2 linked regions of the Neurospora crassa OR74A genome follow. The protein of the gene in region 1 binds, or shares a complex with, the protein of each later gene. Links are inferred from orthologs where the notes say so. Each region holds a gene or a part of one and is shown in the gene's direction. Other genes may lie near its edges. The genes, in order: NCU05587 and NCU06491.

What was found.
Region 2: NCU05587 (region 1) and NCU06491 share a complex: the UniProt entries of both Saccharomyces cerevisiae proteins name them as parts of the SWR1 chromatin remodeling complex. The link is inferred for Neurospora crassa OR74A from reciprocal best matches to the Saccharomyces cerevisiae genes ARP6 and SWC5.

The regions. Positions count from the first base shown.
Region 1 is NC_026506.1:1,416,282-1,420,813, forward strand, and holds the start of NCU05587 (actin-like protein arp-6), read left to right. Parts: upstream 1-1,642; 5' UTR 1,643-1,741; coding exon 1,742-2,189; intron 2,190-2,243; coding exon 2,244-3,136; 3' UTR 3,137-3,559; exon of another isoform or gene 3,560-3,611; 3' UTR 3,612-3,751; coding exon of another isoform or gene 3,752-4,532. Other genes in the region: NCU05588 (topoisomerase TRF4), read right to left, coding at 1-1,048; NCU05586 (malate/L-lactate dehydrogenase), read right to left, coding at 3,752-4,532. UniProt on the Saccharomyces cerevisiae protein: Component of the SWR1 complex which mediates the ATP-dependent exchange of histone H2A for the H2A variant HZT1 leading to transcriptional regulation of selected genes by chromatin remodeling. Involved in chromosome stability.
Region 2 is NC_026503.1:1,607,834-1,611,986, forward strand, and holds NCU06491 (SWR1-complex protein 5), read left to right. Parts: upstream 1-1,734; 5' UTR 1,735-2,154; coding exon 2,155-2,486; intron 2,487-2,544; coding exon 2,545-3,241; 3' UTR 3,242-3,602; downstream 3,603-4,153. Other genes in the region: NCU06490 (hypothetical protein), read right to left, coding at 328-1,243, 1,303-1,397. UniProt on the Saccharomyces cerevisiae protein: Component of the SWR1 complex which mediates the ATP-dependent exchange of histone H2A for the H2A variant HZT1 leading to transcriptional regulation of selected genes by chromatin remodeling. Involved in chromosome stability.

The DNA.
Region 1 (4,532 bases):
GAGGAAGTGGGGCCGAGTCCTCTTCGTCATCAGTGCCTGTGAGATCAATAGTTCCTGTCTCAGGCTTCTTGTCCACAGGCTGCCTAACCTCAGACTTCTTGGAGGGCTGCTTAGCCCTCAAATCCTCGCTTGCGGCCGCAACGGGAACAAGAGAAAGGGAATCACGCGCTGCTTTGCCAGTGGGCTTCGCCTCCTGGATGATCTCGATGTCACTGTCGCTATCGGAATTAAACATGATGATCTCGTCCAGGTCGTTGGGGAGCGCGGTCTTTGTTTCGGCAGCGGTTTGCACACGAGCCTTTCTGATCATCTGCACAACATCCTTGGTCTTGCGCTCCCGAGCACCCTCGGGAGGGAGTGCAGTGTAGGGGTCGGGGTTGGACCACTTGGGGGTGTTGTTGGCGCTGGTCGACTGATCAAGCGCAGTGCGAGCACGCTTGGTCGACGGCTCGGCATCTTCAGCAGCCTCATCTCCAGAGATGTCCATCTCGGCCTCATCACTGTCGGACAGTTCGTCGACATTCCGGTAGAGCACGCCCGTCTCGGGATTGTAGAGGGCCTCTTCATTTCCAGACTCATGGGTACCGCTCAATAGCTCGCGCTCAGCCGCAACAAAAGGACGCCACGGTTTCCTAAAACCTCCGTGGGGGCCAGCGTTGCGGCCTCGTCCACGGCCACTGGGTCTTCCGTGGCGACGATCGCCTCTGGGAGAGTGGGCTCTGCGGCCATTGTAGGACTGCCTGTTGTCGTTGGGACGGTAGTTGTCGTAGCTCGAATTGCTGACTCCCGGCGGCTTCTCTACTCTAAACGAGAAATCACCCTGAGGAGGCCGGTAATTGTCGCGATCTCTTCCACCGCCACCGCCACCGTTGTTGCGGTTGGAGTAGTTGTCGGAGGGACGGTACGATGTCGGCTGGGGAGGTCGGGCAGGGAGACCATGAGGGCCATTCGGCGCGCGTTGTTGATAGCCATTGCGGTCGTCCCGAGGGTCGTTACCACGACGTCGACCGCCGCCGCCGCCACCGCCGTTCTGGTATCGTTGTGACATGCTAAAACTAGCAGTTATGGGTTTATGCGATACTGACCACGATAAAGCGCATCGAGTGAGTGCTCGGTATCGGAGCACAAGAGGATGAGGTTGATTCCACAAGGGGGGCAAAATACGCTGAGAGGTGGAAATGTTCACCTTGTCATTTAATTTTTTTTTAAAAGTCAGAGGTAAAAGTTGAGTGGGGCAACATTGATGGGATTTGTAGTGGTCGGGTTGCAGAGTTCAGTTGCCGTGACGGGAGCGGGAGTGTGCTCTCAACAGTGGAAGTGAAGTGATGGATGACGGAAGGCAGGGCTGCCCGGTCCCAGTCGAGATTTCCACAAGGCCCTAGGCTGCGCTGTGTGTGTGTGTCTCCGGTGTGTTGTGCCCGCTGCCGCAGTGGCAGGCGCCGGCAGGTTCCGTTCTCACTCTCCGGCGCTGTCAGGTCAGCGAGTCTTTAGTGTACACTTGCGGCGGCGGAAATGATGAAATGCCAAGCAAGAGAACCCCAGCCCGTCGAGGTCCGGGTGGCACTGACAACCCTTATCGTTCCCCTTATCAGCAGGTCCCGTCGTCGATGCAAGTGGAAACCCAAACAATTGACGGTTCTTGCGACAACAACCGCGACGCGACTCTCCCACGCACTTCAAGCTACGAGGGCCGGGGCGCGAGAGGGATTCAATTGTCAGCAGCTGTTGTTTCAGTACTGTCATGACCGGACGAGGAGGGGCTAAAAAGTCCCGGGCGGCAGGGCCGGCACCCCCCACGACAACCCTGGTTCTCGACAACGGCGCCGACACCATCAAGGCTGGATTCGTCTCCGATGACAAGAGCGACGGCAAGCCTCGCATCATTCCGAATTGCCTCGCTCGAGACCGTCACAGGAAGATCTATGTCGGCTCGGAACTCGAAAAATGCAAGGACTTCAGCGAATTGGCCTTCAGGCGCCCCGTCGAAAAGGGCTTTATCGTCAACTGGGAGGCCCAGAAAGAGATCTGGGATCGCGAGTTCTTCGACGATAAAGCTGCGCAGAAATGCGACCCATCAGACACCAGGCTCATTCTCACAGAGCAACCAAATTCATTGCCTTCTCTCCAAACACACTGTGACCAGATCGTCTTTGAGGAGTATGGCTTTGCGAGTTACTACCGTGGCCTGGGTATGTCGCCTCCTAGAGAGCTGTTAGGGAAAGGGTGCTGACCTTGTTTTCTAGGTCCTGTCTTCAACGCGTACCGGGACATACAATCCATCTTCCGAACACCCCAATCCACCATAGACAGTCCAGCCCAAGTCATCCTGCTCATCGACTCGGGTTACTCTCACACCACCGTTACGCCTATCCTCCAAGGCCGACCGCTACATCCGGCCATACGAAGACTTGATGTGGGTGGCAAGCTCATGACCAATTATCTCACCAGGTTACTGTCCGTCCGCCACTTCGACATGCGCAACGAACCATACATTGTGAACGAGATGAAAGAAGCAGTCTGTTACACCTCCCTGGACTTCAAGGGAGACCTGGAAAAGACTTGGAAAGGGACGCGCGGCGAAAAGAGGGAGGACTACTTGAGCGGTGCTGGCATCGCCAAAGACTACGTTCTGCCCGACTCCCACACGCGCTTCCACGGTGTTGTCCGCGACTACGAGCCTGGTGTCTCGGCGCGCGCCCGCAAGGGCATTGTATCCACAGAGGACGTCCTGACGCTACGGAACGAGCGTTTTGTTGTTCCAGAGCTCCTCTTCAACCCTTCTGATATCGGCATCCGGCAACCTGGCATCGCCGACCTAGTCAAGCAGTCCCTCTTGGCTGTGCCAATTGGACTGTGGCCTGGCCTTCTGGCTAATATCGTAGTTGTGGGAGGAAACAGTCTCTCTGAAGGGTTCTGTCAGCGCTTGCAAACAGAGATTCTCAAGCGATTCCCCGATGAATGCAGGGTCAGAGTTGCCCGCCCGGAAGACCCTATCATCAGCACCTGGTTGGGAGCTGCCAATTTCGCCAAGCATGAACATGCCAGTAAGCTCGAGGTCACCAAGCAAGAGTATGAGGAACATGGAGCTGCTTGGGTGGCAAGAAAATTTGCTGCTGGGCTCGGACTCGACCCCTGAGCATTTGCTTGGAGTCTATTATTGCCATTTTTGAAGCTTTCCAGGGTTCATTAGCCCATAAAGCGATTGCCAAGCGGCTCCCTATGCTGCTTGATTGAGTGCCCGGCTGGATACTACCCAGACAAAAATGAGCAGGGTGGGCTAGTACGCTTTGCTTCTTGCCTGTCTCTGGACGTTGAGTGCCATACACTCTGTCTGAAAAGCGCCGTTCAATCCGAAACCCTGCCGTGCCATGCCAGAACACCAAGACTCTGTCTCGATGGGCTGGGTGTATAGACTGGGTGTTGATCTTGATTGAGATGCACTGGGGCAAAACCGCGCAACTGATCTCAGCTACCTACAGCTCTACACGGAAAAGCAGGTATCAGAGTTTCTGAGGGCGAGCTACTTGCCACCCTTGTGATACCCATGATGCTGCCTTTGGTAAAGTTTTCAAAATGGTTTGAAAAAAGGATCAACGCTAACCCTCGGAAAGAGACCAAATCACACCATCGTCCTCATCAGTGGTTTGTTGTGATCGCCTGCAGCTTCTTTATTTTAAACAAACTTGGCTCAGACGAAGAATTTGGCCCATTTCACCTCCAAAGGTGCAAATAACCCAATATATATGAAGCTCTACTCTATCAATCGGATCTTGCCCAAGCCTAGCTTTTCAGCCTCTGCATTCAGAGCATCAATCTCTGCCTTGGCATATGGTATGCCATCTTTCAATCTCTGCTCCTCGTTCAGCTGCTCAATCTCGCCCGGGAAGTAAATTCTGTCGACGCCATGCATCTTCTCCGAGTTCACCGCTTTCTGGTATAGGATATCCATGCGTTCCCTGAACTCGTCCAGGCTCATGAACAAGTCAGGCTTGATGGCCACGAAGAAGTGGCCAACGTCCCCCGGCTTGGACATATCATACGGCCCCGTGACGCCTCCAGCAAACGCAGAACCCGAAAGCACGCCGGAGAAGACATCCATCATGATCGCCAGCGCCGACCCCTTTGGCCCACCCATAGGCAGCATCACGCCTTCCAGCGCCTTGGCCGGATCATCAGTTTGCTTGCCCTCCCCATCCAAAGCCCAGTCAGTCGGTATCTTCTCTCCCCTCCTCAGCGCCTTATAGATCTTGCCCCTCGCTGCGACCGACGGGGCCATGTCCAAGATGAACGGCTTCGACCCCTCGCCCTTCCCACCCGGCGCTCCACAGGCGATGGGGCTTACACCCATCATCTTCTCCTTGGAACCCCACACGGGCAGCGCAGGCGACGAATTGGTAAAAACCAGACTCATCATGTCCGCATCCACCGCTTGCTTCACAATCCAAGCGGACATGCCAAAATGATTGCTATGCTTGACGCTTACCATTCCAATGCCATAGACGCCCGCCATTTTGATGGCGGTGTCCATGCCC
Region 2 (4,153 bases), on another chromosome or scaffold:
ATGCCGGTGTGAGGATACGGAAAGAATTGGTGGTTGTCAGGAGCAAAAAAAAGTGTTGAAACGACACCTCGGTCGGACGTTGAGATCATCAAGTTGCCTAACAGCCCCACTGTTTCTTGGCGTGCATTTCAGGGTCCAGGCGGTTGCGGGAGCTGTGACGCTACCCCGGATTGTTACAGTGTACTTGCAAATTGAAAGATAAATTGCCGGCCATTGAGGTTCTTTTTTGCAGTTTCATCATCCCATATCTCCAACTTCTTTATGTTGACTTTGACATAAGCTGTCCTACTAGAAAATCGTACAATAACGCACAACGTCCGCAAAATATCATGCCGCCGCCTGTACACCCTGTGATGCTCCCGGGCCGGCCGCCTTCTTCAAAGCCTCCAACCTCGCCAGCTCCTCCTGCTTCATCCTCTCCTGGATCCTGACTCTCTCCGGGACAATCTGTTCTCTTGGCCTGGTAATCTTCCAGCCTTCCAGGCGGTCTTTTCCAAGAGCCCGCAACGTCACCTGCTCGACGAGTGAATAGTTGCCGTCCTCCCTATCAAAGTTGAACGGCTGCTTCAGCGCTACTGGCGGGTTGGTAATGATGCGGACGTTCCTCTTCGCGTTGCTGGAGGCCGAGTGCAGCATCAGCGGATGAAGTAAGTACACGTCTCCGACCTTGCCTGTTGCCTCGACAAACTGGGTGCAACCCTTGGCCGTGTTGTTGAACCAGTTGAGATGCTGCTCTTGCTTGAACTCGGCATCGCTGCGGGGTGCCATACGTGGCGAGACACCCTCGGGATGCTCGTACAGGTGTTTGGCGAGGATAGGGATTGCCTCCGGACAGATCATGGTCCCGCCGCCCTCGGGCATGATATCGGTGAAGAGAGGAATGACGAGCAGGCCCTGCTCCGGGCTGTCAAGGTAGTGGACGAAGAAGTCACCATCGACGTGCCAATTGTCCAGCTTTTGCGGGGGGACTGGTTTCCCTTCTTTCTGTGGTGTGCCCAGGTTGACGATAAGGGAGTCCTTCCACTTCTTCGACCAGTTCGCGATCTTATCCTCGCCGCCGCAAAGCTCGCTGATGGCTGCCCAGGCACGAGGGGCAAAGTCTGCAGCGTCGAACTCCATATGTGAGGGCATGTTGACACGTTCTTTGTTCCAGGTGGACTTGTCGTTTGGATCCATTCCTAGTCTCGTCCAAACATTGGCGATGATTTCCTGTGCTCTCTGCTGCGTGAAGGCAGCCGGGATCCTGGCATGGTCAGTACCTCGAACGAGGTTGAACAGCTGGTATGGTGGCATGACACCTACTTGACCCAGCCATGAGTGAGGAAGTGTTCCTTCTCTTCAAGACTCAGAGCAGATGACGACGACATGTTCAGTGTGATGTTGCCTTTGGGACACATCCTGTAGAAAGTAGCGTAAAGAACAAGGCTATAGACTGGAACGGGGCCGACAAGCTATCTCTACCCTTATATACTCTTTTCAAGATCCCGCCAGAAACTAACCCAGGCTAATCAATCCGACTGTCACGACAACTCCGGACTCCGAATGGAATGCCGCCTCACACTGCGCCACGAGGCAGCTAGGTAATCCATCCTTGCTCCGTAGGCGCCCTAGGCTACGTGTAACCGGCGGGGTGGTTTTTGGTTTAACCAGAAATACCCTATTGGATATCGCCAGGTTTATTGGAGAGTACGGCATCACCAGTTTTCCATTTTCGTGATAGCGGCCTTTCTGAACCTGAACATCATGTCCCAGTGGTGTGGTTGACAACATCCCGTCGTCAGGGGCAGATCCAGCTTGTCATCGGATGATAGTAACGGAACTCTAAAAAGGTTCCCGGTTGCGGGGCGTTTTCAGCGGGACATCAAGGAAGGTGTGGGCGTGATGCGGGGGAGCTTGAGCCGAACAGCGGCGACATGACGGCAAGCTGCCCTATTGGCTGCTAACAGAGCGTTTGTGTTTCCACTGTCACGCTGCAGTCGATCGGACAAAGACATGGATCCCGTCCTTGTTCCCTTCATCACTTTTCCACTTTAATATTCCGGCCCACGATACTTGGAAGAGGTACCATTCTTGGAACGACGACACACACGGCAACGAGAATTTTACGCGAATAGCTTGAGGAAGACCAGACTGTTATATTCGCGAGATACCAAGATGGCGCCAACACTAGAGCTTCTTGCAGAAGACTACGCGTCAGAGGAAGACTCCGACTTCGCCCCAGAAACTGCCGAAGCCGCGGGAGAATCATCAATATCCGACGATGACGACGAAGAAGCCGGTGAAGATGCCGAGAAAGCGAAACCCGAGAAGAGGAAACGCGCTGCCATCGAGGAGGCGGAAGACGCTGGTTATGACAATTCTGGAGATGAAGCTATAATAAAGAAGGGGGAGAAACGTCAAAAGAAAACAAAGACAAAACTTGCTGCCGACGATGAGGAAACTGGCGAGGGCGGTCTCATCAAGACGCGCAGCCAACGCGCTGTTGAGTATGTTCTCACATCAACCCTCTTCTCTTTGGGTCCTGGGCATTAACGACAATGGCAGAAAGGAGAAACGTTCAACAGCCGCCGCCAGCGGACCTGTTACAATCGACGTCGATGCCCTTTGGGCGCAAATGATCAGCGAGCCGGTCATACCACGAACAAGTACAGCGAAACCAGACGAAAGCGCCGATCCAGCGAACTGTGACATCGCGAAATCGTCATCCCAGCAGCCAGAAACAGCCAAGGCGAAAGATCCCGATTCCGACCTCATAAAGATCAAGAGAACCTACAACTTCGCCGGCAAAGTCCACACTGAAGAAAAGCTCGTTGCCCGCGATTCTGCCGAAGCAAAACTCTATCTCGCCTCTCTCGGAGAGAACGCTCCAGCGGACGGCGAAACAGCCGCCGAGGACGAGTCCTCCTCTGCCAAGCGCATGCCCCGAAAAGCTTTCCGGTCCGTCTTCGAGCCCATCACCGACGCCAACTCGGCGCATCGTTCCGACCTCAACCTGAGCATGGCCTCCCGCCTGCAGGCTCGCGAAGCCACGGGCAACAAGGCCAAGAAGCTCAACACGGTCGAGAAGAGCAAGATGGACTGGGCGGTGGCGGTCGACAAGATGGGCCTCAAAGACGAGCTCGAGCTGGCCGGCAAGTCCAAGGACTCGTTTGCGGCGAGGCAGGATTTCTTGGCCAGGAGCGAGATGCGCAGGGAGGAGGAGGCGAGGAGGGCGAGGATGGCGCAGGCGGGGAAGACGTGAGCGTGTCACGATCTCCAGTCAATCCATTGGTCGCTTGCCTATTATTGTTGTATGGATGGCGTCTCCCTTACCACTACAAGTTTGGAAGGACAGCACTATGCAACACCATTTCATTTCTTACGTTCGCCAAATAGAGATACCCCAGTTTTCAATATCGGAACTTTCCAACGCGTTGAAGACACCAAGCAAAACACGACTTGCATGAACTCAGGGTCACAGTCACATATCAATTCCTTGCAATTCCTGGTCACATTGCAAAGGAACATGCATTTCTCATCCAGAAATCATTTGGCAAGTTGTACCCATGCACCACGCTGTCTGACTCATGATCCCAACTTCTCAATGCAGTTATCATCAACCAATCATCAACTGGCGTGGTGGCGGAGTGGTCTAACGCGCAAGACTAGAAATCTTGTTCCTTCGGGAGCGTCTGTTCGAATCAGGCCCACGTCGAAGTGATTTTTTTTTCCAATTTCTTTTTTTTTTTTTGGACGATTTTATTGTTGAATGGCTCCATAACACCAGTCTGGGGTACCTAGCCACTGGCAGTGGATGCCGACGACAACGCTTTTTGGTCCTTTGTTCACAATGATTTCCCAATGTATCTTGGGAGCTTATTCGATTATTTGGGGGGTTGGTTTCCGCTGATTCAGTACTAGATCAACGACCTCTCCTCCAAGTTGAGAATGTCTAGAAACTCAACAACGGAAGATTATCTACGTCTGACTTCCTGTCTTCAACAGGTAGTTCAACCATCCAAGGTTGTTGGGTACCTCTACCTATGTACACACGCCTTAAAAGCCCTTTTGAGATCTGAAAATAACCTTGAAGGTAGACTTGCTTGAGAGGTTCTACCTTACCCCCCTTCTTACCGACCAGTAGTCGAAGCTGATGCTAATAAGAAGGGGAAAA